Kluyveromyces lactis: one gene and its partner. The protein of the gene in region 2 purifies or fractionates together with the protein of the main gene of each other region. This does not show direct contact. Links are inferred from orthologs where the notes say so. Each region holds a gene or a part of one and is shown on either strand. Other genes may lie near its edges.

Region 1 (16,699 bases), on a different chromosome or scaffold from region 2:
GCATCCGCCATTCCTTCTGACATTGAAGTTCAATCGGCATATTTTATGGTATCAACACTAAATTACAATGATAATATTGAATATCTTCTAGCGCAGTATCTTATCTTAAGAGAAAATGGAGTGTCTAAAGAGATGTTATTACAGGCAATAAAATTGAACATATCCAAGAGAATTATTAATAACGATGAAGACTTCAATACAGCATTCGAAACGATCTGCAATACTATGCCTGTACTATCAACAAGCAACTCCGGAGCAGTATTGGAGCTGCTACAGTTATTCATCCACTTTGTTTCAAAACAGAATAGTAGTGGAAGGCATATTTTTGTCAAATCAATTTCACACCTTTTAACAAACTACTCTACTAGCATTATAGACAGAAAAGATATTATATCTTTCATTACCTTTCTGAATGATCTGCTGGTGGCCAAACCGTTTTTATTCACACAGTACTGTTCAGAAATGCTTTTCCCACTAACATCCAAGATTCTTTTGGATAACATAATCAAAGCAGCTGATACACCCGATCAGAGAGAGATCAAAAATAAGATTCCATACTCTAAAAATGACCTGATTTTTTCCTGCACACATATGCTCTCTTCATTGCTATTATTTCATCGTTATAAGTTATCCAATCGTACTCATTTGATCAACATTGTTATCTGCCAATTACTGGAGTTACTATCAGATGCTAAGCAATACGCTCTATCGGTTGAATCAGCGAAAGCAGTATCAAGATTCATATGTAACTATTGTGAGCCTGCAAATGTGAGAAGCAGTAAGCAGACGACATTGTCCTCGGCTGTTTCTAATGTTAAAAGATCGCTAAGAAAGAATCTGCCAGTTGTTCTTCTACAATTCATCAAATTATCAGTTTCAAAACCATATCCCACCACGATAAAGAAAGAGTTGATGCTCGCAGTATACGCTATTTTTGATCTTCTGTCGCAGACTGAAATGAACTTGCTTAATGCTAGCTTGGACAGTAACGGCAGATCATATTTCAAGACATTACATGCGGACTACAAGAAAAGTGGCAAATGGCATGATGATTGAAAAGTGGCAAATGGCATGATGATTGAAAAGTCCTAATCATTTTATAAAGTTATGTTCTTCTACATTTATCTATATACCATTCAATTAGTCGTATTGCCTTCCTATCAATTCTATCATCAAACGCATATAGAGGACCAAAGTATTCTTTATGTTTAATTCTCATGAAATGCAAGACATCTTTCTTAGTGACTAATCCGGCCATGGTTCCGCCATTCTCTACTATAATAGTTGAGCAGCCCAATTTCTGGAACATCATGAAAAGTATACTCAACGGAGTAGACGGACTAACAGTAATCGGGGTATAATTGATTTTTGATGTTAACGATTCATCTCCACATTTTCTGAAATCAATGATATCGTCGGGAGATCCAGTAGTGGCATCTAAGAAATAGCGAGCGTACTTTGTTAATATAAAGCCAGAGCATGTCGAATCACCTTTGGAACAGCTGCTGGTGATCGGAAGACCGCTAAATTCGGCTGCTGGTCCATCTATCAAATTTTGCAGATCTTGACGAGTCATTTTTTCATTCACGTAGACTAGTTCTTTCGTCATGATGTCATCTGCATAAAAGTCATCCATGAATTCGTGATCCCCTTTCTGCTCTTCCATCAATGGGAATCCATTAACTATAATCATTTGGTCAGCAATTCCTCCCTCGGCACCAAAGGAGGAACAGATAATTCTAGTGAAAGCAACAACTACCATGGTAGGAAGAATATACGTAAATGCACCCGTGACCTCAAACATGATCACCACCACTGTTAGAGTTAGATTTGTTATACCACTTAATGCTGCAGTTGCACCAAGGAAAGCATAAGTTCCCGGTGTAATGACATTTGGTCCAGTAATATAACGCTCTACTATTAAACTTACAGCCCTTCCAAAAGTTGCACCAACAGCCATTGAGGGAACAAAAATTCCGGCAGGTACTCTACAGCCGTACGAAGCAACGATTAGCAGGGCTCGCACTACAGTTGCAAAGAGTAACGAAAGCAATAAATTGATGAACGAGATGAATGAGGCCTCGTTGTCAATTGTACAAAGTCTATGCGACCATAATGATCCTTTCTCATTAGTTTGACACTCATGAAATAAAATTTCCATAGATTCTGTCATGTCAAGTTTCAAGAACTCGTTGAAATAAGAGATAATGGCAGTAACAAACGTTAGTATGACAACTTCCTGTAACGGCCATCTTGAGAGATATTTCTTTCTAAAAGAAACGTAATGCACATTCCATCTGCTTATGTATTTGCCATATAAACCACCAAAAATTCCAAGAAGGATGAATATTGGGATTTCTTCCACATGCCATTCTCTATCATAGGTGACTTCAAAAACAACGATCTTACCATTTCTAGATGGATCAATATATTGTAGAGCAGAAATACCTGCCAGAGCAATATAATACGACTTCCACAAGGCAGATAACTTGAAAGGAATAGAAGCTGACATCTCTTCAAGTGCAAATAAGACACCTCCAATAGGTGCACCAAAAGCTACTGCAACACCACCTGCCGTCGAAGCTGTCAAGTATTCGGATTGTTCTGGGAAGGCCATCTCCTTGCTCAAGAGCCAATTAGTAATTACATAACCACAACAGGTAGCATAGTGAACAGATGGTCCCTCTTTACCAACACTTAAATCAGAAGAAATGGCAAGCGGTAAAGCGACAGATTTTACTATAAGGGTCTTCAAATTCAAAAACTCCGGGGTATATTGGAAACCTGATACCCAGGATTTAATTTCTGAAATACCAGATCCAGTGGCAAACGGTGCAATGTGTAGGACCATCAGACAACTAATAGTTGCAAATGTGACCGATAAGAACATGAATAGCAAAAATGAAAAGATTGGATTGGTTGCTTCTACCCAAATACCTTTTTCGATACATTCGCTTTGGGATCTTTTAAAGAATATTTCTGCGGCATTGCCAGCCGAACTTATTATGGAACCATAACTCCTTTTACTGATCTCTTCTTTAGGACAGCAGAATGCCTTGTTTAACAACCAATTTCTAGCACAATGTCCAGATTTCCAGTTTACTAACAATTCAGTGAATATTTGTAAAAAACCAGCAATACCGCCAATGGAAAGCCCAATGGCAGTCAAAGTAATGAAACTGCTACCTCTTTTCCATATTAACCTGCGGTACTCATACCAACTCGAACGCGGTATATCAAATTCGTCATGCGATGTTCCCTTGGACAATTCACGCTTCTCTTCCTCAATCCAATCCACAGAAGTGAACTTATCGAAATTACCGACTTCTGGTATATTTCGCAGAGCCTGCTCCTCATTTACCTCTTGGTCAGTCATAGCTAGCTATTGCTCATCAATTGGGTCATACCTAAGTCAAGGGCAATACTATGAGTTTATTCATAAATGAGTTGATAAATTTACATATTGTAATACGTACATTTTTCAATACAAAGAAATATGCACCTTTGAAATTAGGTAAAGAACTGAGAGTGAAAGCAGCTCTTCCTGGGGAAGTATGAAGCATACGATGGGGAACAACAACTACAGACTGCGTGTTTTAGACCATAATAGAGTACTATAGCAATGGCGGAGAATGGCCAAATGATCACAATAGGAGGAATGTATATCGTTCTTCTGAATTAATATAGTGAAACAGCCGTACATTACACCAGTTTGTGATCCCATTTGTTTCTTTTTGCTCATCAGTCGAGGAATTCGAAAATTTTCAAAAATTGAAAAACTAAAGAAAATGATTTCAAGAGACTAACCTCATCTCATCTCGTTCCATCTCATCTCACTTTATGATAAAACTTTTTTTAGACTTGGACTTGATCCGATCTTATTTCTAGTCTTAAAACACCAGATTCAAGCGAGCTTTTCATTCTTGCAAGGAACTTGAACTGACCCAATCGGATACTTCACTTCATATTATAAAGAAATAATGTCTGCTCCAAACCCAAAGGCTTTCCCATTGGCTGATGCCACCTTGTCCCAACAAATCTTGGATGTTGTTCAACAAGCTTCCAACATGAGACAATTGAAGAAGGGTGCTAACGAAGCTACCAAGACTTTGAACCGTGGTATTTCCGAATTCATTATCATGGCTGCTGACTGTGAACCTATTGAAATCTTGTTGCACTTGCCATTGTTGTGTGAAGATAAGAACGTTCCATACGTCTTTGTTCCATCCAGAACTGCTTTGGGTAGAGCTTGTGGTGTTTCCAGACCAGTTATTGCTGCTTCTATTACCACTAACGATGCTTCTGCTATCAAAAGCCAAATCTATGCCGTTAAGGACAAGATTGAAACTTTGTTGATTTAAGAAGGATTTGCACATTTCGTGATTTCCTTTTCTTATTCTTTATATCAATCGTTTAAGGAGTTAACCGCTTTGTGGGGGGTTTGCATAGCAAAGAAAAGATTTACTGCACGTTCATTGATTCAAGTGATCGACAGGTAGATTTTTTTTTTACGACCTCTGTATATTAAACATATATATTACAATTAATACAACTTTTTGATACATTTGCATCCTTCTTAACAATGACATCAACATCTGATGGTTCTAGTTAGTGGTCAGTACATAGTTTTTTTTTGTCTGTTCAAATTAAGAAATGGTTACAGGCCTGTGTATTCCAGATGATATTGTCAGTTGGTAAAAAAAAGTAATAAATTTGACACAATCTTTTGTGCTTTCGACTATCCAACCCTAAATTTACAAGTTTGTTGAAATGAACTTAGAGGAAGAAGTCTGACTGTCCATCAGTAGCTGCTCGAATATGTTCAAGTTTAACCCATTACACATTGTTGGTAGGGAAAAGATAAAAATCCGCTATCAAAGTTCGGATAGGTTGGATTGTGAAGACCCGCCAAAATTTAGGGAAACTCGATGTAGATGTTGCGGAACCTTGTTACGACATCCTATAGACGCAGTTAAGTTCAAATGTACAATATGTGAGGTGACTGTTGTTTTGAGACAAACAGCAAATTCTAGGGATACTGAGGGCAAGATACTGCCGGACCTTGAACAGTTATCCAATATAGTTGGTCAATGTCTCGAATCGTATAAGAAAGATCAGACAGGAGATGAGACCCCCGCTAAAGAGCTTAACAGCTACTTCATTCCTGTGGAAAAATACATTGTTCAAAAATTCGGTACAGCGGAAGCTTTGAATCAATTATTCAAACCAACTGTTAAAGATCAAATTATAAACTACGAAAAAGCAGTGACATTTTATAATTTGATAGGCTCATTGCCTACCAAAAGACCCATTTATCTCATTTTACGTGTCTTTAATGAGGTTTTGAAAAGGCCAAAGATCCTAATGGATAAATGGGAGCACTATTTATTCATTTTTTTCATCTTGGAGGTACCTTCTTTAAGGCAATGTATTAACAACAGTACTACAATTTCTAGAACACCCAAGATTAAGACTTTAAGTTACGAAATATTAAAAAGATGTATTGGTTACTTGGGGTCAATGAATAGTAAAGTTTCGGTGAAATATAAGAATCACTTAGTTCGTTTACATCCATTGAAATTTCAAAAGCAATGGGAAATTTTAAACTTGTATTTGAGTTATCAGTTCCAGAAAATAGGACCCGGTCCGCCGCATTCACCACGAGGATTATCAGGAACGTTGTTAACTGAATCATCGCCTGTGGATGAAACCAAAGATGGAACTGTATCTTATCTTTTCCACCCCGGAAGGCAAAAGATACCGTTAGAGAGCAGGTTCAGAATTGAAAAATACGGACTTGACTGGCATATTCGCACGGTGTGTCAGCTAATGAACATATACTTTCAAGCTCATTGTGAACAGCCAAAATGTGACATCTCGGTTTTTTACAATATGATAATTGATTTCATTGATTACAAACGTGATTTTATGATGTGGCATAAGATGAATAGAGAGCAATGGAGGACCCTTGACGATTTATCCATGACACAGTTACATGAAACGCACTATACTGCCTTATGCCAGTACCCTTTTTTGATGTCCTTAGGCGTTAAGATAGCCATAATGGAGTTCGAAACTGGGAAAATGATGGAACATAACGCTGAGCAAGCGTTCTTAAAGGCGTTGGACTCTCGTAAACTTTACGATGTACATTTCCGAATAAAGGTAAGACGAAGCCATGTGACACAGGATTCGCTAACGTCCATTCAACGACATCCACATGATTTGAAAAAATCCCTAAGAGTGGAGTTCTCGAATGAGCCTGGAATCGATGCTGGCGGTTTAAAGAAAGAATGGTTCCTTTTATTGACTAGGGAATTGTTTCATCCAAACCATGGACTATTTCAATACGTGGAAGAAAGCCGATTATCTTGGTTTGCATATGGGAACACCGGTCTTAAGCTTCATGGAGAGAACAACAATGAACTATACTATTTGTTTGGAGTAGTGTTAGGTCTTGCAATATATAACAGTACTATATTGGACTTACATTTTGCGAGGGCCATGTACAAGAAACTATGCAATGAGCGGATCACTTTTGAAGATTATGAGGAGTTGTACCCTGAGACAGCAAGAAATTTAAAGAAAATGTTGAGTTATTCGGAACTAGATTTTAGTGATATATTTGGATTGTCGTTTGAGACCACGTATTACGATGTAGCCAGTGGTATCAACGTCACGAAACCGTTATGTGACGGAGGAGAATCAATCCCAGTAACCTCGGAGAATAAGACAGAGTTTGTTGAAAGGTGGGTAAATTTTTATATGAATGAGGGGGTCTCATCGAGTTTTAGTGCATTCCAATCCGGGTTTACAAGAGTCATCGGGGATGGTTTGGCTTTCCCGATGTTCAAAAGTTGTGAAGTAGAAAGGCTCATCTGTGGCAGCATAGAACAAGACATGGATTTCGAACAACTTCGCGCTGTGACGAAATACCAAGGCGGATTCCATAACCAAACCCCGGTAGTGGAATGGCTATGGGAAATACTACCACAATTATCCCATGAACAGCAACGTCAATTTCTCCATTTCGTGACTGGGAGTGACAGAGTTCCAGTGACGGGACTTGCGACGCTTCCGTTCAAGGTAACCCGCACAACGTCCGGATCACATGATCAGTTGCCCACTGCCCATACCTGTTTCAACGAACTCTGCTTGTACGAATATGAGTCACGTGATACTCTTCTTCTGCGATTGGTGACTGCCCTCGAAATGTATGAGGGTTATGGGTTTAAATAATGTCAGCAACAAACATACATTAATATAATCACTACAAACGAACCAATCATATCGTGAACCAGGCTTTACAGAAAAACCTGCTTCCCTTGAATAACCAGAAAACACAAGGAAATGGACACTTACAGCTACTATGTGAAAGCCGTTAAATGCGAAGCGTTTTACTGACACTAGGCCCAAAGGCCCTAGTGTCAGTTATCATTTCCACCAAGAAAATCTTCCTATACTTGACCATTTACGCAAATAAAATTGTATACTTGTAAATTGGAAAATAATAACCACACCAGGAAGTTCTGCCTCGTCCCAGCTCATTTACACTGTCCATTCCTGTCTGGTCGAATTATATCTTGTTTAATCCTTTAGCGCTTCTTACTATTGGCTTTTTTCCCAATCTGAAATTTTTCTTTGTTTTTTTTTTTTTTGCTTCCTTCCGCACTTATTAAGCTGCAATGGCTTCTGTTTAATATGGATAGAGATAATTTGATAATTTCTCTGAATAAAATAAAATAGAAAAAGATTTAGTACAATCATTTTATTATTACTTTCAGTTCCAACAACATTTTTGCATTGATATATATATTTTATAATCTGGCTTGGTGATTCATATCTGTGTATATATTTATTGATACTCCGAGAGTGCTTTGCTGTTGTGATTAAAGTCGATATCATAGAAACGATTTCTCCGAAATAAGAACGGGAAATTAGTACGAATAATACACTCTAGCGATATATCCATAACTAACTAATATCAAAAATGTTGGGTTTAAGAAACGGTTTGAAGACTGGTTTGAAGTCTGTTGCTCCAGCCAGATTAATTTCTACTTCTGCAGTTGCTGCCAAGTCTACTTACAGAACTCCAGATTTCGGAGACTATATCAAGGAGAATAACGATGCTGACAAAGGTCGTTCTTATGCTTACTTTATGGTTGGTTCTTTAGGTTTGTTGTCCTCTGCCGGTGCCAAATCCACCGTTGAAACTTTCATCGCTTCTATGTCTGCATCTGCAGATGTTTTGGCTATGGCTAAGGTCGAAGTCAACTTGGCTGCTATTCCAGAAGGTAAAAATGTCGTTGTGAAATGGCAAGGTAAGCCAGTTTTCATCAGACACAGAACCGACCATGAGATTCAAGAAGCTAACAGTGTTGATATGTCAGCTTTGAAGGATCCTCAAACTGATTCTGACAGAGTTCAAAAGCCAGAATGGTTAGTCATGTTGGGTATCTGTACTCATTTGGGTTGTGTTCCTATCGGTGAATCTGGTGATTTCGGTGGTTGGTTCTGTCCATGTCACGGTTCCCATTACGATATCTCCGGTAGAATCAGAAAGGGTCCAGCTCCATTGAACTTGGAAATCCCTCAATATGAATTCGATGGTGAAAACTTGATTGTCGGTTAAGCGCAGAAGGAAAGCTAAAAAAAGATTATATTATGTTGATAAATTGTTGAAATAGGCTACCTTTTTTTGCTATTTCTCAAATTTAACTCTCTTCCTTTTTCTCTTTCTCTTTGTCCTTCTCACTCCAGCTTTCACTAATAAAATTCTTTATTCCCATGTTGATGTCTCCTACTCCCCCCATGTATTTTCCAAGTAGGATTCACAACCAAGGTCAATATCTTTTATGCTAAAGTTTGTCATATTGGAATCGTGTAAGCTCGTTTTTTCACGTTCCATCATCACTACCCGATTTATTATTATTTATTCATACAAACATTTTTGAAACCACAACTACCCGTGCCCCCATAGCTCAAGCAAACTAAAAGGATAGCAAGCATGAAATGCTTTTGAAGCATTGTTCAATTGTATGTCATCACTTTTCCTTTTAACTGCACTGAGAAACAATCGCATTAATACCTGAATGACCACATCAGGCTACTACCGTGATTGAAACCCTTTTATTATATTCCAAAATCTTTGAAATAGTCCTGCTCTACCCGATGCATGGTTATACCTACAATCTGAATCGCTTAATGTTGTATCGCCTTCTTTTCCATAAAAGGTCAGACACGTATTTAAAGAAAAGCGGGAGTATTGGATTAATCTGTCAATAGTAACTTTAACCTTTGATTTCCCTTTTTCAACGAGATTTAGGCCTAGGAACAATGCATTGGTATTGCAATGGGATGTCATTATTTCGCTTTTAATTTGCCTATTTTCCCGCTAATCACGAGAAAAATAAATTCAATTAATCAATCCTATACTCTTAAGATGTCTCAAAAACTGTTAACCCAAACCATAAAAACCTAAAAAAATCTCTTCCAACCAAAATATTTTACCATAAGAATAGAGAAATTGACGAACAATTAATTTAAATTGAGATTACCTTTCTCTCTAGGGATTCAAATTTTTTATCATATTAAGGTTTGTTTCCTGTTATTTATATACTCTGTTAACGATGCCAAGATTATATATTATATGTATATGTATATTCCCCACATACTCTTTTAAAAGAAATGAACAAATTTAATCCATTTGAACGCCGAAAATTGGGAACCCTTGAAAAATCCAGTGCTGTTTGTAGACTAAAGTTCTGGGTTAGCTTCTAACAAGCTTTCAAGATCATCTGGAATTCGCTGCCAATTTTCTCGATCCCATTCGGTTAGCATATCACACATCTCTTTTCTTATTTTGTTGATATCCCTTTTCTGACAATTGCACCCGTCATTGACACTATCAGGAGGCAGCAATGGTTCTGAATCAAGTCCAGGGTATGATATCAAAGATGAAGTCAACGAAGATCTGACCATAACTTTCTTCTTCGTTTCACCGTTCTTCCTCTTTGGAAGGGATATCTTTTCATGCTGCTCAATTAAATCTACGCAATAATCTGGCAAATTCTTCGGTTTGTAATCGTTGACAAGCTTTATCCTCCAGTAAACTGACCAATGAAGTTCGCCATATTCAGGTATATTCCGTCTTCTACCAAAATTTGGCACGTAAACGTTTTTCCATTCACACTTTTCGTTTTCGATTCTTATTCCTATTGGAATCAATTCAGCAATCCACCAAAAAATCACCCTAAAGATACTCACATTTCCACTTCCATCATTTTTTTTTTGACGACCGATGTCCTTCCCTGGTTCATCAGTATCAAAACCTTGCTCAAGATCAGAACAACTAGATGGTGATTCCGTTTTCCAGTTAAACGTTCTGAAGTAAACGTTCTCTGTTTTATGACGCCACGGTAACCAACTTCTCTTTGATGGCAGTTTGAAGCCGTGGTATCTATTAATTTGATCTTCATCATATTCATTAGTCTCTTTTTTGTGAAATGGGTTTTTCATAGTAAGATTGCTCTTTTTGAAACTCAAAAGATCGTGCGATGCTGACAATAAGCTTCCAGCAGATGTATATTTGCCAGCAAATTCATGGATGATTCCTTTTTTAAAAAGTACTCCGGATTTGATCGCTTCTGAGAGAATCCATCTTAGAGACATATCACTTAAAAAATGATTTTTCTCAGTGATATCCGGTGGCCAACTCCCACCAATATCTGAGTGATCGCCTGGAAACCACTTCTCTATTAGATCCGATGATGTCCTTTTACTATCAAAAGTACCATGGGGAGAGTCCACCTCGAATATACCTTCAACTCTCTGGTTCACGAAATTATCTGTTCTTTGGGAATGTTCCAGCTCTAGGAAATTGTTGATTCGGGATATTAGTTCTTGTACGGACTTACTAGATTGTGATTGTGATGAATTAGGTCTTGAGCCAATGGTATGATTTATAAATTGGTTACTGGTACTGTGATAGTTTGTTTTCGGGGCAACATTCTCATATTCTATGACATAATTTCTATAGTTCAACGAAAATAAATTTGGTCTATAAGGATTAGGGGAAAACGACTGTTGTTTGAACTTCCCTCTTCTTTCGTCAATGCTAACCGCATGTCTGATGTGACGAACGATGCCGCTCCTAGCTGTATAGGGAAAGAGCCGATCTAAAAGTATACCACAAGAATTCACCGAATCAAAGAGGCCTTGAAAATGTATTTCGATCTCAATATTTCTTGAAAACGTTTTCTTAAATTCATCCACCAAAGTAGTCGCATAACTCGGTTGTACGGGCTGTGCAGCGTATTCCCAGGCTTCATATATTTTCCAAGCCATCCATATCATTTCATCTAGTCCAACGTTTAGAAGTCCAACCATTTCCAGCATTCCAGCTAGTACCCTTGCTATGAACGCACCTCTGCTGAACCCGAACATAAATATTTTGTCTCCGGGTTCGTAGTGGTGCATTAAATACAGGTAAGCAGTCATAATATGATGATCCAAACTGTAGGCAACAGCAGAATCAATAGCCGTCTTCAATTTCTTCCAAGTAACCAAACCACCAAAACCAGCTTGTGCATCATACTCCAACGAACTACCGATGCCTGGTTGGTAATAACAAATCTGCCTTTCATAATCAGAGCCATCAAGCATCCGATAAAGCTTCAATACATTGCTGAAGGGGTTGGGGCCGAAAGTATTATCCGTTCCATCAAAACAAAGTATTATATTTTTACTGGTGGTACTCTGACCAGTGCCCAAAGAGGATGATGCCATTGAATTTCTAAGAAAAGCATAGAAGAGCTATGCTATTTTTTTTGGCACTTTTTTCGGCTTGATGTCTCGAAATACTAGGTTTATATACAGAAGCTGCTCGAGCTGGTGTATCGAGCGCCACATATTACATCCAATGCTGTATGATCTTTTGTGTCAGTGGCATCAAAAAGAAAAAAAATATCTTTCGTTACCCGCATTTGTGACAGAAATTTCACTCAATCTGAATGAGGAAGCCAGCATAGATAGAAGAGAATTCAAGGGTGCTACAAAGGTAAATGTTTAATCGGTATCTCTATTAGCTGATTTAAGTACCCAAACTTTCTTTAACTTATCAAATACTGCGACATCTTTTAAGATTTTCCGAACACGTTCTACGTCGGTTGAGTTTGTTAGCTGTAATCCGACTCTAATCACTAGATCTGCTGATTTGCTCGCAAACCCTGGTGACTGAGATAGATATTTTTCAATGGACGCTTTGAGTACCTCGGCGCTCTTCTCGTCCTTCTGTGTAGCATCTGATTGAATGTCCTCTCTTTTAATTTTCTCCCGCTCTAACGTATCCCGGTTCAATTTTCTTGCAAACTTGCTGTCATTTGTAGATAATGCAGTCCTACTCTTTCTTATTTTACCTGCCCTACCGAATTTACCAGTCCAAGTCGGAGTGCCAACATCAAACCTTTTAGTTTGTTTCCGTGAGTTTTTTAATGCATCAAGTGCAGATTTGACGTTACGAGTAGCTTCTGCCCCAATGATATCATCTCTCTCGTTAGTATCAACGCTATTTGCTGAAGAAAATAAGCTACCCATGATTCTGTCGTCTTCGGTGCTCTGCTTCTCATCTTGTTCTTTAGAGTTGAAAAATCCCTCCAATTTGTGAACACCCGAAATCTGCGAAAGTTTATCAAAATCGTCCGTCTCCGAAGTCTTGTTCTGCTTTATATTACCCGTTTGTTTAACAATTTCTTGATTGAATTCTTCTGTTTCATATCCATTATCTCCTCCTAGAGTGAATAGATCGTGTAAATCATTCATTTTGAAAAAACGCTTTTGTTTGGGATCTTTCAAGATTTTATTTGATAAAAACTGCTTAAAGATCTGTCTGTGATAAATCTTCTCCTCAATACTGCCTGCAATCATTAATCTATAAATAGTGACCTCCCTCTTTTGACCGATCCTCCACGCACGTTCTCTGGCTTGCATATCAGTAGATGGATTCCAGTCCGGATCAAAAATTATAATCCTATTTGCCCCTGTTAAATTAATACCGAGTCCGCCTACTCTTGTTGTAAGTAAGAATACGTCATAAGGTTCGTTGTTGAATTTATCCACCAATGATTGACGAGATCCGATGTTAGTCGTACCATCCATCCTTAAAAATTTAAGATCTGATAGTTCAGGGTCTTTGTAACTGATGAATTCTTGTAGAATATCCAACATTTGTCGGGATTGAGTGAATAGAAGAGTTTTGTGACCCTGTGAATGCCATAGTAGTAACAACTGCTTTACTACTTGCATTTTGCCTGATCTTGCTGGATTGCCGTAATCCGCGTCTTCATAATCGTTCATTTTCTTTCGTTTTAAATCCAATAAGTCCGGGTGGTTACAGATTTTTCTTAATATATCAATACCATATAGAACCTGCCTTTTCCCTTTCCTTATTTTCATGAGCTCGTCAGAGTGGAGGAATTCTAAGTACTTCGATTTTTGGTACTGTGTTAGCTTGCAGAAAAGAACCATTTCATTTTTCTTTGGTAAGTCCTTAGCAACATCACTCTTTACTCTTCTTAATAAATAAGGGGAAATCAAATCTCTGAGAGCAACAGCGCACTTATAACCAGTTTTCACTTGTATATTTGAAGCGTTGGCATAGCCACCCATGTTGATAGGATTAGCAAACTGTTGTTGGAATACAGGAAGAGTCCCAAGTTTTCCTGGATAGACGAAATCGAAAAGGGACCATAATTCTGTCAAGTTGTTCTGAATTGGTGTCCCTGAAAGAATAATTCTGTTCTGTGTCTTTAGCTGCTTGCATGTCAAAGAGATATCTGAATCAGGATTACGAATCTTATGTCCTTCATCCAAAATAGCATAACCCCACCTTACATTCAGTAGCGCTTCAGAATGTAATCTTAAACCAACATACGTCGTTATAATAATGTGACCATCCGTGATCACTTTTTCTAAAAGCTTTTTGACACTTTTTCTCGATTCAAGTGAAGTCCGCGTTTTCTCTTTTTTCTCATAGTCATTATATGTAAACGTTCCGTAATTTGAAGTCATCAACATCTTCTCTAGTTCCTCTTCTGGAATCTGTGTACCTTTATTCATACCGGCACCAATTGAATGTAGAATTACAGCTCTAAAAGGTGGCCACCAAGTATGGAATTCGTTACACCATTGTTTCATCACAGTTGCGGGACAAACGACAAGTACAGGGCCATTCAATTTTCGGGAGTGGTGCAAAGTGGCAAGAAATGCAATAATTTGAATCGTTTTACCTAGTCCCATCTCATCTCCTATTATGCCACCGCATCCTTGTTGATAAAGCTCACATAGCCATTGCACACATGTTTTTTGATAGGGAAATAGCAAAGGGAATATATCACCAGGTACCATGAAATCTTCACTGATATTGGCGTCTGAAATTTTTGGATGTGGTTTCAACCATTCTGGAATATCCGGTTGGTTATCGTAATCGCGATCTTTACTTCTATTGGCTACCCACTTCTTTAATCTTTGTTGATAATGATGCTCGTCACCGTCATCAATAGCCTCTGCAGGTTTACGAATTACATCGAGTTTCCCAGCTGATTCGTTTAAAAGTTCTTCTGAATCACTTATAAAATCAGCCTCGTCTTCACTTTGATCTTCTTCCTCGTCAATGTTCTTTAACATTTGTCGTTCAGCTAGTAAGATTGATTTAGATTCTTCTTCGTCTTCTACCTTAAAATTCACACTATTTCCGAACCCTGTGATTTTACCGGTCCTCAACAAGAAATCTCTTTCCGACTCACCAGGTTGTCTCTCTGTAGATTTTGTAGTCGTATCGGCCTCATTAGTCTCTTTCAAACCTTTAATTCTTTCTTTGATTTCAGCAATATCCTGCTCTAAGGGTTTTAATTCATAATTCTCGACATCTTCAATCTGCTCTTTCAACTTAGCACGAACACTAATCCTACTGGCGTTGTAACGTTTACTTAACAAGCTGTCCCGTTTCTGTCGAAGGATATCCCGCTTGTTTGTGTACCTCTCTAGAAGCTTTTCTTCTTGCTCCAATGTCTGTTTACTAATCATATTATTAGCATTATTCTCTATTTCTTGTTCTAATGATGTCTGAGACATCATTTGAACCTTCAACCCACCTAAATTGTCACCGCTCATTGTTGATGGTTGTTGGTTTTCAAATGCGTACCCAAATATCTTCTGGCACTCTTTACTGTTGTATGGTTTTTGTATATGTTTTACTCATCGCAGGAATGGTGCATTATTAAATCATATCTCAGGATTTAATGATTCAATTTTTCAGGTAAAACGTTAGTGGAAGTCTCAACGCTCGAGACGATAAAACAAGAAGTAAAAAAAACTAGAGTCAATGGGCTCGGTGATATTAATCCCGAAATGGCCTTTCAGGGCGTGCCTTCAACCCATCATCTTATATAATTTTTCCCTATTCCCTCTTATATAATGATCAAGCGCGGCAAATTTAAAAAAATTCGGGGCGAGCTGGGAATTGAACCCAGGGCCTCTCGCATGCTTTGCAGTAGTTAAACCTCGTTTAACGAGGTTTGGCTAAGCTATTAACCCAAAGCGAGAATCATACCACTAGACCACACGCCCTAATAATTGTTGAGGACTTAGTTTCAGAAATAATCGACCTACCTCTAGGAGCTTGTAAGGTGTTTATATTTTGATATAACCTTCCCAGAACTAGGAGCCTATTCACGAAAATAGCACTTGCATATTATCATGTCACTCTATTCCATACTGCAATATATCTCAACTTAACAACCCTCGGGTTAACCTGAGACAATTTCCGGGTTTTCTTGCAGGCGAGTATGAAATGAAAATATGGCTATTAGTTAAATATATGCATACCGATACGTATATTAATCGAGTGTTTTCCTAATGTCAATCTTCTTGTGTGGTAAATTTATGACATCTGTGCATAGCTTCGTACAACCTACTAGATAGCCATTCCTTAAAAGATATATTAACCGAAAGGGTATAGTCAAGTTTGGTATTCTTGGAACAAGACGATTTCAATGAGGCAATGCGTTAACAAAAGGGTTTAGAATTTGGATTGTAGAAGAGCAGCACACGGCAGAGTATTATTTACAAGATATGGTGTGAGTTATCCAGTTTTATGCAGGAGCGACAATTTGATGATGAAATGTTTTGAAGTAAAAAAAGAGAATTGAAAGAACAGAAACACGCATAGCAAAAGGGATTGTATGCCTTAATTCTTGCTGGCACTATCTAGTAACTTCAACTTCTCATACTCTTCCTTGGCGTTGAAGTCTCCGGTAGATAGCTTTTCATATTGCTCATCGTACTTTCCCGTAGATAACGCACCGTTGCCTCTGAATCTTTTGGTCATGTCAACAATACCACGCTTACAATCCAAAAATGCTTTCATCTGTGCCATACAGAGTTCTGGTAGATCTTTACTCAACTTAGGATCTTCTATGCACTGCTTAGGAGTGTTTCTTTCGATGAGCACGCATGGCGATCTCTGCAAACAGATAGCAACAGCTTTCCTTTGATCGTTACAACTGGCACCCATTTTTTTGGTATATGCTTATGATTAGCTTTTTCTATTATTAGTATTCTTACCAGCCCTTGAATAAATTCCTCTAGTAGCTCCTATATAGCATGAACTTCTTTGGATTAAAGACCGATGACCTGTATTTTG
Region 2 (13,516 bases):
TCGTGGTGAAGTGTGCTATTACTGCTGTTATTTTCCTTAAGGCGTGGCAAAAGTGTTTTTTCCCGTAAATTCATTTTTTTCATTCTTAGATGAATATAATTGACAGAAAAGTGCTAAGGATCCAATGGAAAAGCCTTCAAGATTAGGTTCCGGGTAACAGTATTCAATGTTCCATACTTAACCGTAAACTGCACTGTTGTACCGGAACGAGATTACAGACACCCAATTGCCAGCCATCTAGGTCAACTGCAGCGGTGCATTGACTTACACTTTCTCCATATTCATGATGATATCTATATTTATATATCTATATTTATACGCTCGTAGGCACCACGCTACTGATCATGTGATTACAAAAAGGCCAAATGCAACAAATAAGTAAGCTCAGCTTGCTCTAAATTGTGGTTGAAAACTATTACCAACCACTATACATAGGCTAGTAGTGCCTTCAGCCAATCTCCCAAACAAATTACAAACCAAGTTTCGAGGGCGATGTGTGCATGTGTGCATGTGTGTGTTCTTGTATGTGTATGTGTATGTGTATGTGTCTGTGTATGTGTATGCGTGTGCGTATGTGTTTTGTCTTTTACATGTATGGAATGAGTTTCTTTTTGTCTCAGCATCAGAACATGGAAAAGAATAATCGAATAGAAAAAATATTACTGGAAAAAGTCAAAATTTCATTAAAAGGTAAGGGAATGGGAGTTCTACTTGAAAGGATGTTGTTCGATATCAATAAAACGATTTCGTTACTCTTCTTCTCTGGTCAAGTTACTCATCATTACATGAACTTGAACCACTGCGGACAGATCTTTAAGAAAGGGACTTCGGTAGGTGATCTAATTTTTTTTTTTGAAGAAACTCTTCCAACTTTAGGAACCACCTTAATTTGAACTCTGGTTTATCATAGTGAAGTAAACTACTTTGGACTTACTAATAATCGCTAAAATCTCATAACTTAATTGGCTCTCATCCGAATAGAGACCAGTACAACCTTGAGAAGAGTTTTCCCCCTTTTTCTCTAGTTTTTTAATACCCAAAATCAAATGTCTAAGCAATTCAAGCATACAACCCAGGAGAGAAGATCTTCCATAATTTACTCGAACAATAATGGTAAAGGCGGTCTTTTCTCTCCTCAAGATTATATTTCGGGAGACAAGACTCAAGCATTTATAGACGACGATATTAGCGAAGATTCAGAGGATTCTCTTTTCGCAACCAATAATTCTCGTACTTTACAACACGAATATGGTTCTACAGGCCGAACGGGAAGCAGTGATAGTAGTGAGATTCATTCCGCCTTACCGAAAAATCTAATACGAGAAGAACGGGATCTATTGATGGACAATAAGCTGTACAATTCTAATCATGCTCTTCATAATCATGCTGCATATTCAACAAATGATCCAAACTCTTCCTTTGCACCAACATCATCAATCGAGGATCAAGAAGTGATTGAAACTTGGGAGGATGCAATTGAATCAGGGAAAGACATAAATACCACATTTAAGAGAGAGGCCATAGTGATAACATCTAATGCATCACCTCTTGTACTGACTTTCATTTTACAAAACTCTTTATCTTTAGCATCAATTTTTTCCGTTTCACATTTGGGAAGCAATGAATTAGGAGCTGTTACCCTAGGATCTATGACAGCGAGTATCACTGGGTTTGCTGCCATCCAAGGGCTCTGTACTTGTTTAGACACACTTTGTGCCCAAGCTTACGGTGGTAACCACTATCACTTAGTTGGTGTGTTGTTTCAAAGATGTGCAATTATCACGATCATTCTTTCTCTACCTGTTCTCTTCACATGGTGGCAATGGTCTGAACAGATACTTGCATTATTCATTCCAGAAAGAGAACTATGTGCCTTAGCTGCAAAATATCTTCAAATTGTTTCTCTGGGGATTCCAGCCTTTATCCTATTTGAATGTGGTAAAAGATTCTTACAGTGTCAAGGAATCTTCCACGCTTCCAGTATTGTCCTTCTCGTTTGTGCTCCCCTTAATGCATTGATGAACTATGTTTTAGTGTGGGATAAAAATATTGGAATAGGATATCTTGGTGCACCTATTAGTGTAGTATTGAATTATTGGTTAATGGCTCTTGGGTTGTTTGCTTACACTTTATACACGAAAAATGAAAAAAATCCCATGAAATGTTGGAATGGATTTATCAAACCGCATCAAATTTTGAAGAATTCACGAAAGATGTTCAACTTAGCACTGCCTGGTATTATCATGGTTGAAGCTGAGTTTTTGGGTTTTGAAATTTTGACTATTTTCGCATCTCATTTAGGTACCCATGAATTAGCCGCTCAATCAATTATTTCGACTATCGCTTCTCTTGCCTATCAAGTCCCCTTTTCAATTTCAATTTCGACATCGACTAGAGTTGCAAACTTCATTGGTGCGTCCTTGTATCGAAGCTGCGTAATTACTTGCAAAGTGTCATTATTACTATCGTTTATTATTAGTTCGTTGAATATGGCAATGATTTACAAAGCTAGATACCTAATAGCAAGGCTTTTTTCCTCAGAACCCGATGTTGTCAGATTGGTTTCTAGTTCGTTACCAATCTTGGCCTTCATGCAAATTTTTGATGCATTTAATGCTTCAACTGCAGGTTGTTTGAGAGGCCAAGGCCAACAAAAGATAGGAGGATACATCAACGTTTTTGCATTTTACTGCATAGGTATCCCAGTATCATATTTGCTAACATTTCATTACGGATTTGGTGTTAGTGGATTATGGTGGGGTATCACTTCTGGTTTAGTTTTCATGAGCATTTTCCAAAGCTATGCTGTATTTCATTGTAATTGGAATGATATTATCCGTGCAGCAAAGTCTAGAAATAGCGAAGGTGCCATGGTATAACGTCTCTGAAAAGACCACATATCGACTAAATACCATCGTACATTAATAAATTAGGAAGAAGGTAAACCCCATTCAATGCATCTTATATTGAACTTTTCATATATCATTATCTGTTTATTTTTTTGTTGTTTAGATATAAAAGATTTAACAGTACATCTTCTAGTTGAAGGATTGAGTTGTCAGCTGTTTGCTAATCATTTTATTGTACAATACCATACTGTTCCAAAATTTTGGCTAAATTATTATATAACCATGGTATGGTTTTATCATTTTCCTCAACAATACCTTGGAAGTGTTCGATGGATTGCTCAACGGTTATATTTTTGCCCTTTGCATATTTGTTGATAGCATTCACCAATGCGCTGCGGCGCTGATAAGTTCTCAACTTGGGTAATTTAGACAATTGACCTGCACCATGTTTCTCCTCGAAATGCAAGATCTGAAGCTTTGTATCTGTATAAAACTCGTGGTAAAGGTCATGGACGCTTTTGGGACAATCTGTCATTATAAGGTGATAGTTCTCAACATTGTTCAGATCTTTTGCGCCGAGAGGTCTGATTTTGCTCGAGTGTTGTGATTTCGCTACCTTGTACCTTGATGGCATTTCTCGCGATGCGTTCTCCGCTTCTCTGCTGAGACTACTGAAAAGAATTTCATTTTTAAATTCTTCTTTGAAAACTTTTGGCCCTTCCGAAATGTCAGCTTCAGTCTCATCAATTCCAAGTAGAGGTAGAGGATCTTCATTCTCTTTATTTACGTCAAAATCCACTTCTTGTTCCTCGGTTAAAAACTGGTTATTCATATCCAAATCATGAGCTAAAAGATGTGTTTTAATGATTCCTAAATCAACAATAATCCCAGTATGCTGTTGTTGTATTAAATCTAACTTAGATTTTAACAGGGCAATTTGACCATTGACACTTTGACACTTGCTATTACACACTGCGTCGCATAAAACGTTCCAATCAGTTTGTAAAGTGTCTACTCTGCTTTGGAATGTATGAATTATTCGTTCAATATTCTGTGGCATCTCATTTGATTCTCGGCGTCTTCGCAATGCAATCAAAACTTGAAAATACTAATTGATTCAGATGTAAATAATAGTGTATATACTAAACTACGAATAAGCACGAATAACAGAGGTGATGATGTGAAAGTTTGTGAAATCTGTGGTTTATATAATATTTGACATATGTTTAATATAGTAATTAAATCTTTTTGTGACACTTTTATTTTTCGTTTTTCCTTTTCCTTCACTGACTGCATGGACGCACCAGTCCACACAGAAAAACCAGCAAACCTAAATGTGGCACATCAGAAAAGTTGTTCGAGCGGCGATGGGTTTGCACCATCCAAACAATACTAGGAATAACGTTTTCCTGCTGGTTCGAAAACGCACTGAATTTAACTACTGTTATTCTTTTATGAATTGCAAAGTATCGATGCTATCTGGAAAATTTGAGTACAGATTAAATACATTTTGTAGGGAAAACTATCATTGTAGGAGCGGTGACAGCCGTTAAATCTATGCTAAATGGGTAAGTTTTAAGACGATATTTGTGAAGGATAGAAATTAAGAAAGAGGAATGAAAAAAAACGCGATACTCCTGTACCTCTAATTTTTTACGTTTTTATTCTTTGTCTTTTGTCTTTTAGCGCTGGATTTTTGTTCTTTCGTTTGCTCTTTCTTTTGTTCTTCTTGCTCTTCTTCTGCCTCGACCTCTTCCAAGTTTCTTTTGGCTTGCTTAATTTGCGTAGCAAACAAGGAGTCTAGTTCGTCTGGATTTGCAATTTCTAACAAAGATTTCTCAAATTGTGATAGTTGCAATTCGACACCATCAATTTCTATGACATTTTGAACGGAAGTCTTAGCATCATGTCTGGACCCAACCAATTTGTCTAATACTTCCAAATTAACGTATAATGGAAGGACTGGTGATTCGTTAGATTTGAGAAGAATGGTTCTGATATTGTACTTTTCGATGAACTGTTTAGCGACAGAAATGATATTTTCAGTCAATTGTTCTGGGGTGAACCATTCCAATGAACCTAGATGAACATTCATCGTGTTACCTCTTGGAAGTTTGACTGGGATTTTAGTATCATAAATTCTCTTGATGCTATTTACCAAAGTTGTCTTGTTAAACTTGTTATCCGATCTTGTGTTAATGGCAATTGGAGTGGTATTCAACTTACTGTATGCTTTACCACCTAATAGCTTGGGCAAAGCTGTCACTATCGAGTCATCAGCTAGAATGAAAGAAAAATCCTGTACAAATGCACGCCTCTTTTCAAAAGCCTTGTATTTTGTCTTCAAATCTTTACCAGATATGATGGCATCAATAGTAATATGTTCTGGAAGTAGATCGATCAAGTCTTCTGATGTCACTGAATTGATATCAGAATCTTTTAGAATCAAAAGAGTCTTGAAATCTTTAACCATGGTGGTGCTAGCTTCCTTCCATGGCTTGAAGATAGAATGAGGAACTGTAATTAGTTTTGGTTTGAAGTTTTTCAAAGAACCAGTAAAAGATTCAGTGTTGACTAGGATCAACTGTAGCTGAGCCTCCAATTCAGAATCATCAATTAACTGATTGTCATTTGATCCATTTTCCTTCAAATATTCTTGCAATTTAATAACAGCATTGTTAACTCTGTTAACTGGAATGACTTCTTCCTCTTTACTGCCCTTAGTAGCCTTGGTGGCTTTGGTCGAAACCTTGCTTTTCTTAGTTTTAGTTGCCATATTATCTAAACTTTGATATTGCTTATAATGTGCTTGTAGATATACTAGACTGGATGAGTGGAGTTATTTCCTCTATATTCTGGATTCTTTCCAAGCGTTTTTTAACTTACTTGATTCGCACTGTCTCAGAAAAAGATCAACAAATTGTTGGTTCACCTAGGTAAGCTTACTTCTCGAGTTCGTACTGGCAACTATGAAATATCCAGTATATATCTAATCAATCCTTTGAGCTGAGAAATAAGAATAGGTACTTAAATACTTTACATACCATTACTTTATTAATCGTGTTAGGTGTGCAACATACTTCGAGATGAGATGAGATGAGCTATGATGAGATGAGCTCTCTATTGTCAAAAATAAAAATTTTCTGTTTCGCAGGAGCTCCACTGTGTTCACGTAGTTAGTAAATATTGCTTTTTGAAAGCGAAGGCCGTAATATATGATTTGAAACTTTTCTTGAAATTTGATAACATTTGACACTTAAGAAATAAAGAGTAACCGAATCTGATATTGAATCTCGGTGCGTGTTTGTGCAAAAGTTACTAATGAGCAACGGGCTACGTTCAGTGAATGGGGTTACAATACAAAAGGGCTTAAACTGTGTATTTTAGGGTTTCTTTCTCTGGTTTATTTCGGAACAGTACTATTTTTGAGTTAGGTTTTTTCGGCTGTCAAACAGGACTCACGATCGATATAAAGGATACCTTAACAGAGAATACGCCGCACGAATCTGATTTATGAGTTATTAAGTTGCTATTATTATTATTATTATTATTATATCGTAAACATAGTCATCGTCCCCGTTCATTTATACTGCAAAAGGCATATTAGCATATATTAATCAAATCTAGCCGCAGGGGTAAGCATACGCTCTCACAAGACAAATAAGAAGAGCATTAGACATGGGTAAGAGAAAGAAGTCATCCAGAGGTCCAGCCAAGAAGATAGTACAGAGGTTAGATACGGCATTCAATTGTCTCTTCTGTAATCACGAACGCTCTGTGAGCGTAACAATGGACAAAAAGAATAACATTGGCTCGCTTCATTGTAAGATTTGTGGACAATCGTTCCAAACCCGCATTAATGGTCTATCACAACCGGTAGATGTATATAGTGACTGGTTTGATGCGGTTGAGGAAGTTAACGAAGGGAAACATAGCGAATCTGAAGATGAAAACAGTGACAGTGACTACGAGAGTGACTCTGATACTGAGCCTTCTTCAAACCGTAGAAAAGCTGTTGGAATAGATTCTGACGAAGAAGAAGAAGAAGAACAAGAAGAAGACGAAGATGCGGATTACGGAAGAAAAGGAGCGACCGAACGAAAAGACTCAGAACCAGAATCAGACTCAGACGATGACGGTAAAATATCTAACAAAAGAGGAAGAGCAGCATGGATGGACAGTGATGACGAGTAGTCGAACCGACAGAAACACAGACATCGAACACCAATATTAATCTTACAATTGTATCTATCTATCTATATATTACCCAGAGATATACTAGTAGAACGAATAAAATCAGGTATAAAGGAGCTGATATTTACGTTCAAAGAGATTGCTGGATCTTATCTGTTTCCTATAAGAATTTATATAACGCTCACCTTGGCTTTAACCATCGGTTGATAGTATTCAGTTTGTACTGCAGAAGAATTTATATATCAATTCTACATCAATAATAGTATCTTTGGTATATCGAACTTCTCAGTAATGTGGCATTATTTCTGAACTAGATGGTGATACACGAGATAACAAAACTCGAAAACTTCAGTTGTATGAATTCAAACAAGATAAAATTACTTCTGCTCGTAACGGTGCAATAACCTAACATACGATCAAGTGAAAACAAAAGAGCACATTTTTCTGTCTACCGCTAAATAGACTAAACGCGTATGTTAATAGCTGTTTGTTTGATATATAACTACTTTTCCTTATAATTTAGTCAGTATAACATATATATAATTATAATAATTGTGATGATGATGATAATAATAATAATAATAATAATCTTGATTTTATTTGAATTGTTTGTAAATGTTTCTTGAAGGTTTGTATTCACGGTTCTGTATATGTCCTGGCAAATAAATAATGTCTTCGTATCTGCTACTACCAGTAGTCAGCACCAAAAAAACCTCCTCAAACAAACAAATGTGTGACAAGAATATATGGTGTCATAGGATGGGACACGTTCGTAAATATAGTTTTTGATGATATTTATTTTGGTTTCATTTGGTTGTTGGTGTTGTGGATAAGTATTGTTCTTTCCTTCCTAGTGAAAGGTTCTCAAAAAGTGAAAATAGTATGGGAGAAGATGATAAAGCCGGTGACTTTAGATTAAATGTTCTTCTATATGCACTTATTGGAACAATTCCTCCTTCAAAGGAATTCCCAATTCTTCTCTAACATCCTTCAATTCATCCAAGTAAGCCTTGTATTGATCTTCGTTTTCAACTTTGTATCTCAAGGCTTCGAACACTCTGACAGCAGTTGGCAAGTCGTTAACCTTTCTGGCGGCTCTCAAGGCCTTTTCGATAACAGCTGGGGCTGGAACCAAATCGTAAGAGAAACAGTTATTCAACACTCTTTGGACTTCGAATAAATCGTAAGCCTCTTCGAATTCCTTTTCGTATCTGGCGGTGAATTCTTCAAAGGTTTCTTCTTCGTGTGCATCGGAGTACTTTCTGATAGAAACAAATTGAGATTGTAATTGACCAACTCTTGGGGCAACAGCAGCTCTCATCATAACCGGAGCAACGGCTCTTACTGGCATAGCAGCTCTCAACAAAGTTCTGGACAACATATTTTTCTTTGTATTGGTTGATTCGGGATTTGGATTTGATTCACTGTATTAAGATGATCAAATAGCTATTCTAAAAGGAATTATAACAAACCGTATTCACAAAAGATTCAAAGTCGAGTTCTATTGTAATTAAAACTTAATGTAAAACGCTTTAAAGATATATCAAATAGGTTAGGTAAAAGGTAAATCGACCGATAATTTTCTCTGGAGTTTTTTTAAAAATTTGAAGTAATGAAGAATGAAAAAAAAAAAATTAAATACTTAAAATCGCATAGGACAAATATCAACAAACAGTTCAAATACTTAAACTAGTGGATAGCTACGTCTTTGAACTAGATAAAAACGAGATTGTTAAAAGGAAAGTAAGAGTAATAACTTGCGAAACGAATAGCACAAATTTGAACCTCGAGTGAGTCGTTCCATTCGAAACAACTTTTATTGTATCTTATTCTTTGTATGCATCATCTTCTTAGTAGTTTACAAAAAAGTGGTATTATCAGTTTTTTAAATAGTGTGTCTATGGAAAATGGATGGAAGAAAAAAAGAGGGCTAACATAATTCATCGGCAGAGTTGCAACAAAAGTTCACACTCCAAAAAATCCTACATGTGGTACTTACGAGCAAGTCGTTTATCTAGTTCGATTTTAATTATTTGAATTGAGTATTTCTTGACTTTCTGCTGCCTGTCATTTTTCAGTCGAGCGATGTCAGATTAAAGATCTCATGTTCAAAGGAAATGAAACCTTAACTCTCATAATCTTCGAAATAATGTCCTATAAAACAAGATAATAAGTCCGTGATAATAAACCCCACAAGCAGTATCTATAGAATCCAATAAAACACATTCGTGAAATATGCTGGGGGGTAATGGGCATTGATTGAGACTGGTCCGACCGTTCTGTAGGGTGTCTTGTTTGTGGGGAAGGAGAACGTATTGGCATATGATTGGTTCGTCACCGATGATTTTTACCACATAGTCGGGTAATAGGACAGCGGGAGAACGTGACTTCAATACAAATACAATTACCCGGAAGTCGCGTGGTTTCAAAGGTTTTTTTTTTCTCGGTAGGCAGGTTCCCCTGTTCGATCCCTCATCTCCGCAGAAAACTGCGGGTTATTATGTCTCTAAACGCGATAGTTAATCCTCTATATCGTCAAACGTTGAGATAGGTGGCATCGCGGTCTTGATATGTTGCATCAAAGCCGTATGGTTTGGTTCAGAGTTTGTAGACCCCTCAACTATTATTCGGGTATGTCCATTGTCAAACACTTTTCGAACAGCAGGTTTTGAATCATCGTCGATACCTGCACCAGCCTCTTCATGTCCCGTGTTACGATTAGGCCATTCTTCAAGCCTAGAGTAATCAAATCCCGGAGGAGGTGACGCTGGCGGAGACACTAGAAATAATGTCTGGGCAGGGGGAACTTTAAGGTGATTCATCACAGTGTCAGCGCCAGCGTGTGGAAATCCAGCTTGTGAATTCGATTCAGCCACGTGATTCGTGATGGAGAACCCAAATTTACAATCAGGGAATAATGGGTTCAAGGATTTCACTTCACGGCTCGCCTCAATATTAGGCGATGTTACCAATATTCTCTTGAATCCAGGAAGTGTAATGACACGCACGGCATCCGCACCGTAAATCTGTCGAGTATCCACCACACATTCTTGCACCTTATTTACGATCTCATCAAACAAGGGCTTGGAGCACACGTCCTTTGTCTTTGACGTTATTATTACAGTATCAGTAGCAAAATCATCATACGTTGCCATTCCAAAGAAGTGTATTCAGTGTGAGTGTAACCAAAGTTCGCCGCTATTTGTGCATGTCTAAGTAAACACTTAGTATATGTAAGTAGTAGATTACGTAGTTACTGAAGAAAGTGAATCGATCTTTACAGTGAAATATTGAAAAAAATATTGAAACAGAAAATCACTAATGCATGAGATGAGGTGTGTTCAGAATAACATTACGTGTAATTAAGTTACGCTTGATTCAGTTTGAGATTTATACGTTAGAATTAATTAAAGAGACAGAAGAATATACAGAATGCCTCTCACTAACGTTATATACTGTGGTGTGTGTGACTTTCCTGCTGAATACTGTGAATTTTCCGGTAAATTCAAACGTTGTAAAGCTTGGTTACAAGAAAACCACCCAGAATTGTACACCAAATGGTATGGCGATGTCACTGAAGATGTGTCTAAACAATTGGCAGAATCATCTATTGGTGATGAAAGAGAGGAGAAGCTTGAAAAGGCCCTAGAGAAACTAGAAAGAAAACAACAGGCTAGAGAGGAAAGAGAATTGGCTAAGAAATTATCGTCTAAAGTTGTGATCAGAAGAGAAGCAAGAACAAAACGGAAGTGTATGATTGCTATCTCTGGACTAGAAGTTTTCGAAATTGACATGAAGAAACTTTCCAAAACTTTTGCATCCAAATTTGCTACAGGTTGTTCTATCTCCAAAAATGCCGAGAAGAAAGAAGAAGTGATTGTTCAAGGTGATTTGGCAGATGAAGTAGAAGCATATATACATTCTTTACTAGAGGAAAAAGGTATGAAAGAAGTTAAGGTAGAAGTAATCGATGCCGCGAAGAAGAAGAAAAAAGCTGAAACTACAACTACACCAGGATCCGAAAATAAGAAATGATTATGAGAAGCACATTTAGCTGACACCCTTTTGTCATAACTTTATGTTAGCCTCTTAGGTAGAAAGATTTATATAATACCGCATTCATCGTTCAACAAACTGCACAATTAAACATCAGTAAGATGCTATATCTATACCCTCATATATAATAACTGTAGTAGCTATTAGGTTCCCATAAATATACTCCCATGGTGAGGAAGGGCAATACCTTACAAAAGAATATCCGGGTAAGATCACTTTTTCTTCACTTCCACTTCCATTATGCACCGTTAGATGGTGAGGAAACATGTCAAAATGTAAAATAAACTAAAAGCTATTTTCACCGAGCACAGAGAGTAAACAAGAGAAAGAGCCTTGAGTAATACACTGAGCACTCTTGTATTTGCTTACCAATTGGTTGAATCACGGAAGCATTCGGAAGTCAATTGTACTATGACCAGAGGATACATTGATGATTCGGTGAATCATGCTTTAGATTCTCGACTAATTGGTTCAAGCGTTTTTCAATCGTCAGATGCTTTGCTGGATCAATTATTATCTCTTCATTATAGAGCCCATTATCACATAAACATTTCTACAAAGACAAAATTCAGTGCACTGTCGGCCCTTTTATCTGAAGTGGAGAAGTTGCCCGTTCTAAAGGATGAATTACACTGTGCAATTGCGGACAATATCTATGGTATTGTTTTCTGTGAACTTGATGAAAAGGAAAAGGGGTTGCAGTACGTCTCTAAGAAGTTAGGCAGCGTTAATGGATACGATAGATTTGGAAGAATGCTAGATTTGGAAAGGCTATTTTATAAGGGAAATGTCGACTTAGCTGAGTTTTCCTCTGAAAGCTGGACTATTCCGAAATATTCTGATGGCTTAACTTGGCATTATTTGCAGGCAATAATAAAAGGGCTGGACCTCTCTCATTTTAAGCCAAAAACACCATTCCAATGGATGCTTTTGACCCTTAATGGTTCTGCAACTGACTCAAATCTTCTATCTTATAGCCATTCATTATTGAAGAAAAGTCGTTTCCCTAATGCTGATGAATCAAATAATTTTGAACTAGAACAATTCCACATGGTCCTACAAGAGCATCTCAAAATAAATAATTTAAATGTGAAGAAAGAATGGGAGCAATTTATCATTGATAGTATGGAAAAAAGTTTCCAAAGTATTTCGGTTGCAAAATCAGCAATGCTCTTTTATCGAAAGGTCGATCTAAAGAGGAGCATTCTAAACTTTACCAATTTGGTCAATTATTCAAACAAATATTACGAACTTAACAAAAGGTATCCTGACTTATTAGACTTAGTTTCATCGTACCAATTCATTCTGTCTACATGTAAAACGCCATTTGAACCGTTCTTCATGCCAGCAAACGTATCATCCGATTTCTTAAAGTTGCTAGAAAGAATTCACAACAAGTACAGTATCCCTATTATAGAAAAACAAAAGGCACTAGAAGGCAGCTCAGATGTATTGGACTTATGTCTAGCCTCATCAACAGCTTCTGTTCTATCCAGTTCATGGGAAACGTTATACGAAACTAGCGCTTCTTCTCTCCCAGCCTTGGTAGATCACAGTCAGATATTTTACCTATCGAATTCTTTGCAAACGTCTTTGAACGCTTCTGTGTCATTAAAGTTTAAGTTCGCTTATCATTTGGCTACATTAAGACAAATTGACCAATGCATCGCTTATCTAAAAAAACAAATATTAACACTTCATCCAGAACATTTCGCTAGTTGGCATCTTCTTGCGTTATGTGAATCCTGCATCAATGAAGATTTACAAGTAAGTTTCAAAATTATCAATTCTGTCATTCAATCAATGTGTGAACTTTTCGATGAAGGCAGGCAATTCACAATTGATGAAAAATGGCAGTTTATTCACATTAAATTAACTCAACTTCAACTAGTTAGAGACATGTTTGCACTTGAAGATGCACTTGAAATTTTGCCAGAGGTATTCGAACTTTATCAGCGTCTCTTTTCAGATGCTTCAGAACCCCTTGGTCCTCAAATCAATCAGAGTAACGACTATCTATTGCAGAAGATTTGGTTGTTTGCATTGGAATTATACCTGGAAAATGACGATATCGAAAATGTAAAGGCTGCGTTAGATGAGTTTAAGAACGTAACTTCAAAATATGTTAATTTGAACCACAACCTCGCACAAGGATTCGTGTTGTATACACATGGTCACTCTGAAAAAGCGACAGCGGAATTCGAAAAAGTTTTGCACTATGACTCTACATCTGTCGAGGCATTGATCGGTTTGGCAAAAATCGTGCTTCCTGATGAAGAGGCAAACCTGGATACGGATCTCAAGCATAACTCCAAAATAAACCAAAAGGAGCTACATAGAAATTCTGCCACGTCACTCGAAACTTCTTCTGCTGTAGCCAGACTTAAGTTCTTATTCGAAGAACTAGTCGATAAATC

Evidence for each region.
Region 1: the proteins of COX6 (region 2) and RIP1 purify together in Saccharomyces cerevisiae (affinity purification with mass spectrometry; 4 studies listed by BioGRID, with this or other methods). This does not show direct contact. The link is inferred for Kluyveromyces lactis from reciprocal best matches to the Saccharomyces cerevisiae genes COX6 and RIP1.

Annotation. Positions count from the first base shown.
Region 1 is NC_006041.1:2,006,182-2,022,880, forward strand, and holds RIP1 (ubiquinol--cytochrome-c reductase catalytic subunit RIP1), read left to right. Parts: upstream 1-7,990; coding exon 7,991-8,632; downstream 8,633-16,699. Other genes in the region: ribosome biogenesis protein URB2, read left to right, coding at 1-1,056; GEF1 (Gef1p), read right to left, coding at 1,106-3,376; RNA binding protein SNU13, read left to right, coding at 3,981-4,361; putative E3 ubiquitin-protein ligase HUL4, read left to right, coding at 4,819-7,239; KLLA0_E22595g (uncharacterized protein), read right to left, coding at 9,757-11,787; DNA-dependent ATPase RAD26, read right to left, coding at 12,067-15,168; PET191 (Pet191p), read right to left, coding at 16,244-16,570. UniProt on the Saccharomyces cerevisiae protein: Component of the ubiquinol-cytochrome c oxidoreductase, a multisubunit transmembrane complex that is part of the mitochondrial electron transport chain which drives oxidative phosphorylation.
Region 2 is NC_006042.1:2,028,641-2,042,156, forward strand, and holds COX6 (cytochrome c oxidase subunit VI), read right to left. Parts: upstream 8,425-13,516; coding exon 7,981-8,424; downstream 1-7,980. Other genes in the region: KLLA0_F21802g (MATE family efflux transporter), read left to right, coding at 1,047-2,879; KLLA0_F21824g (transcription activator GCR1-like domain-containing protein), read right to left, coding at 3,079-3,909; CIC1 (Cic1p), read right to left, coding at 4,495-5,625; ELF1 (Elf1p), read left to right, coding at 6,528-7,043; TMA22 (Tma22p), read left to right, coding at 10,476-11,078; YPP1 (Ypp1p), read left to right, coding at 11,511-13,516. UniProt on the Saccharomyces cerevisiae protein: Component of the cytochrome c oxidase, the last enzyme in the mitochondrial electron transport chain which drives oxidative phosphorylation.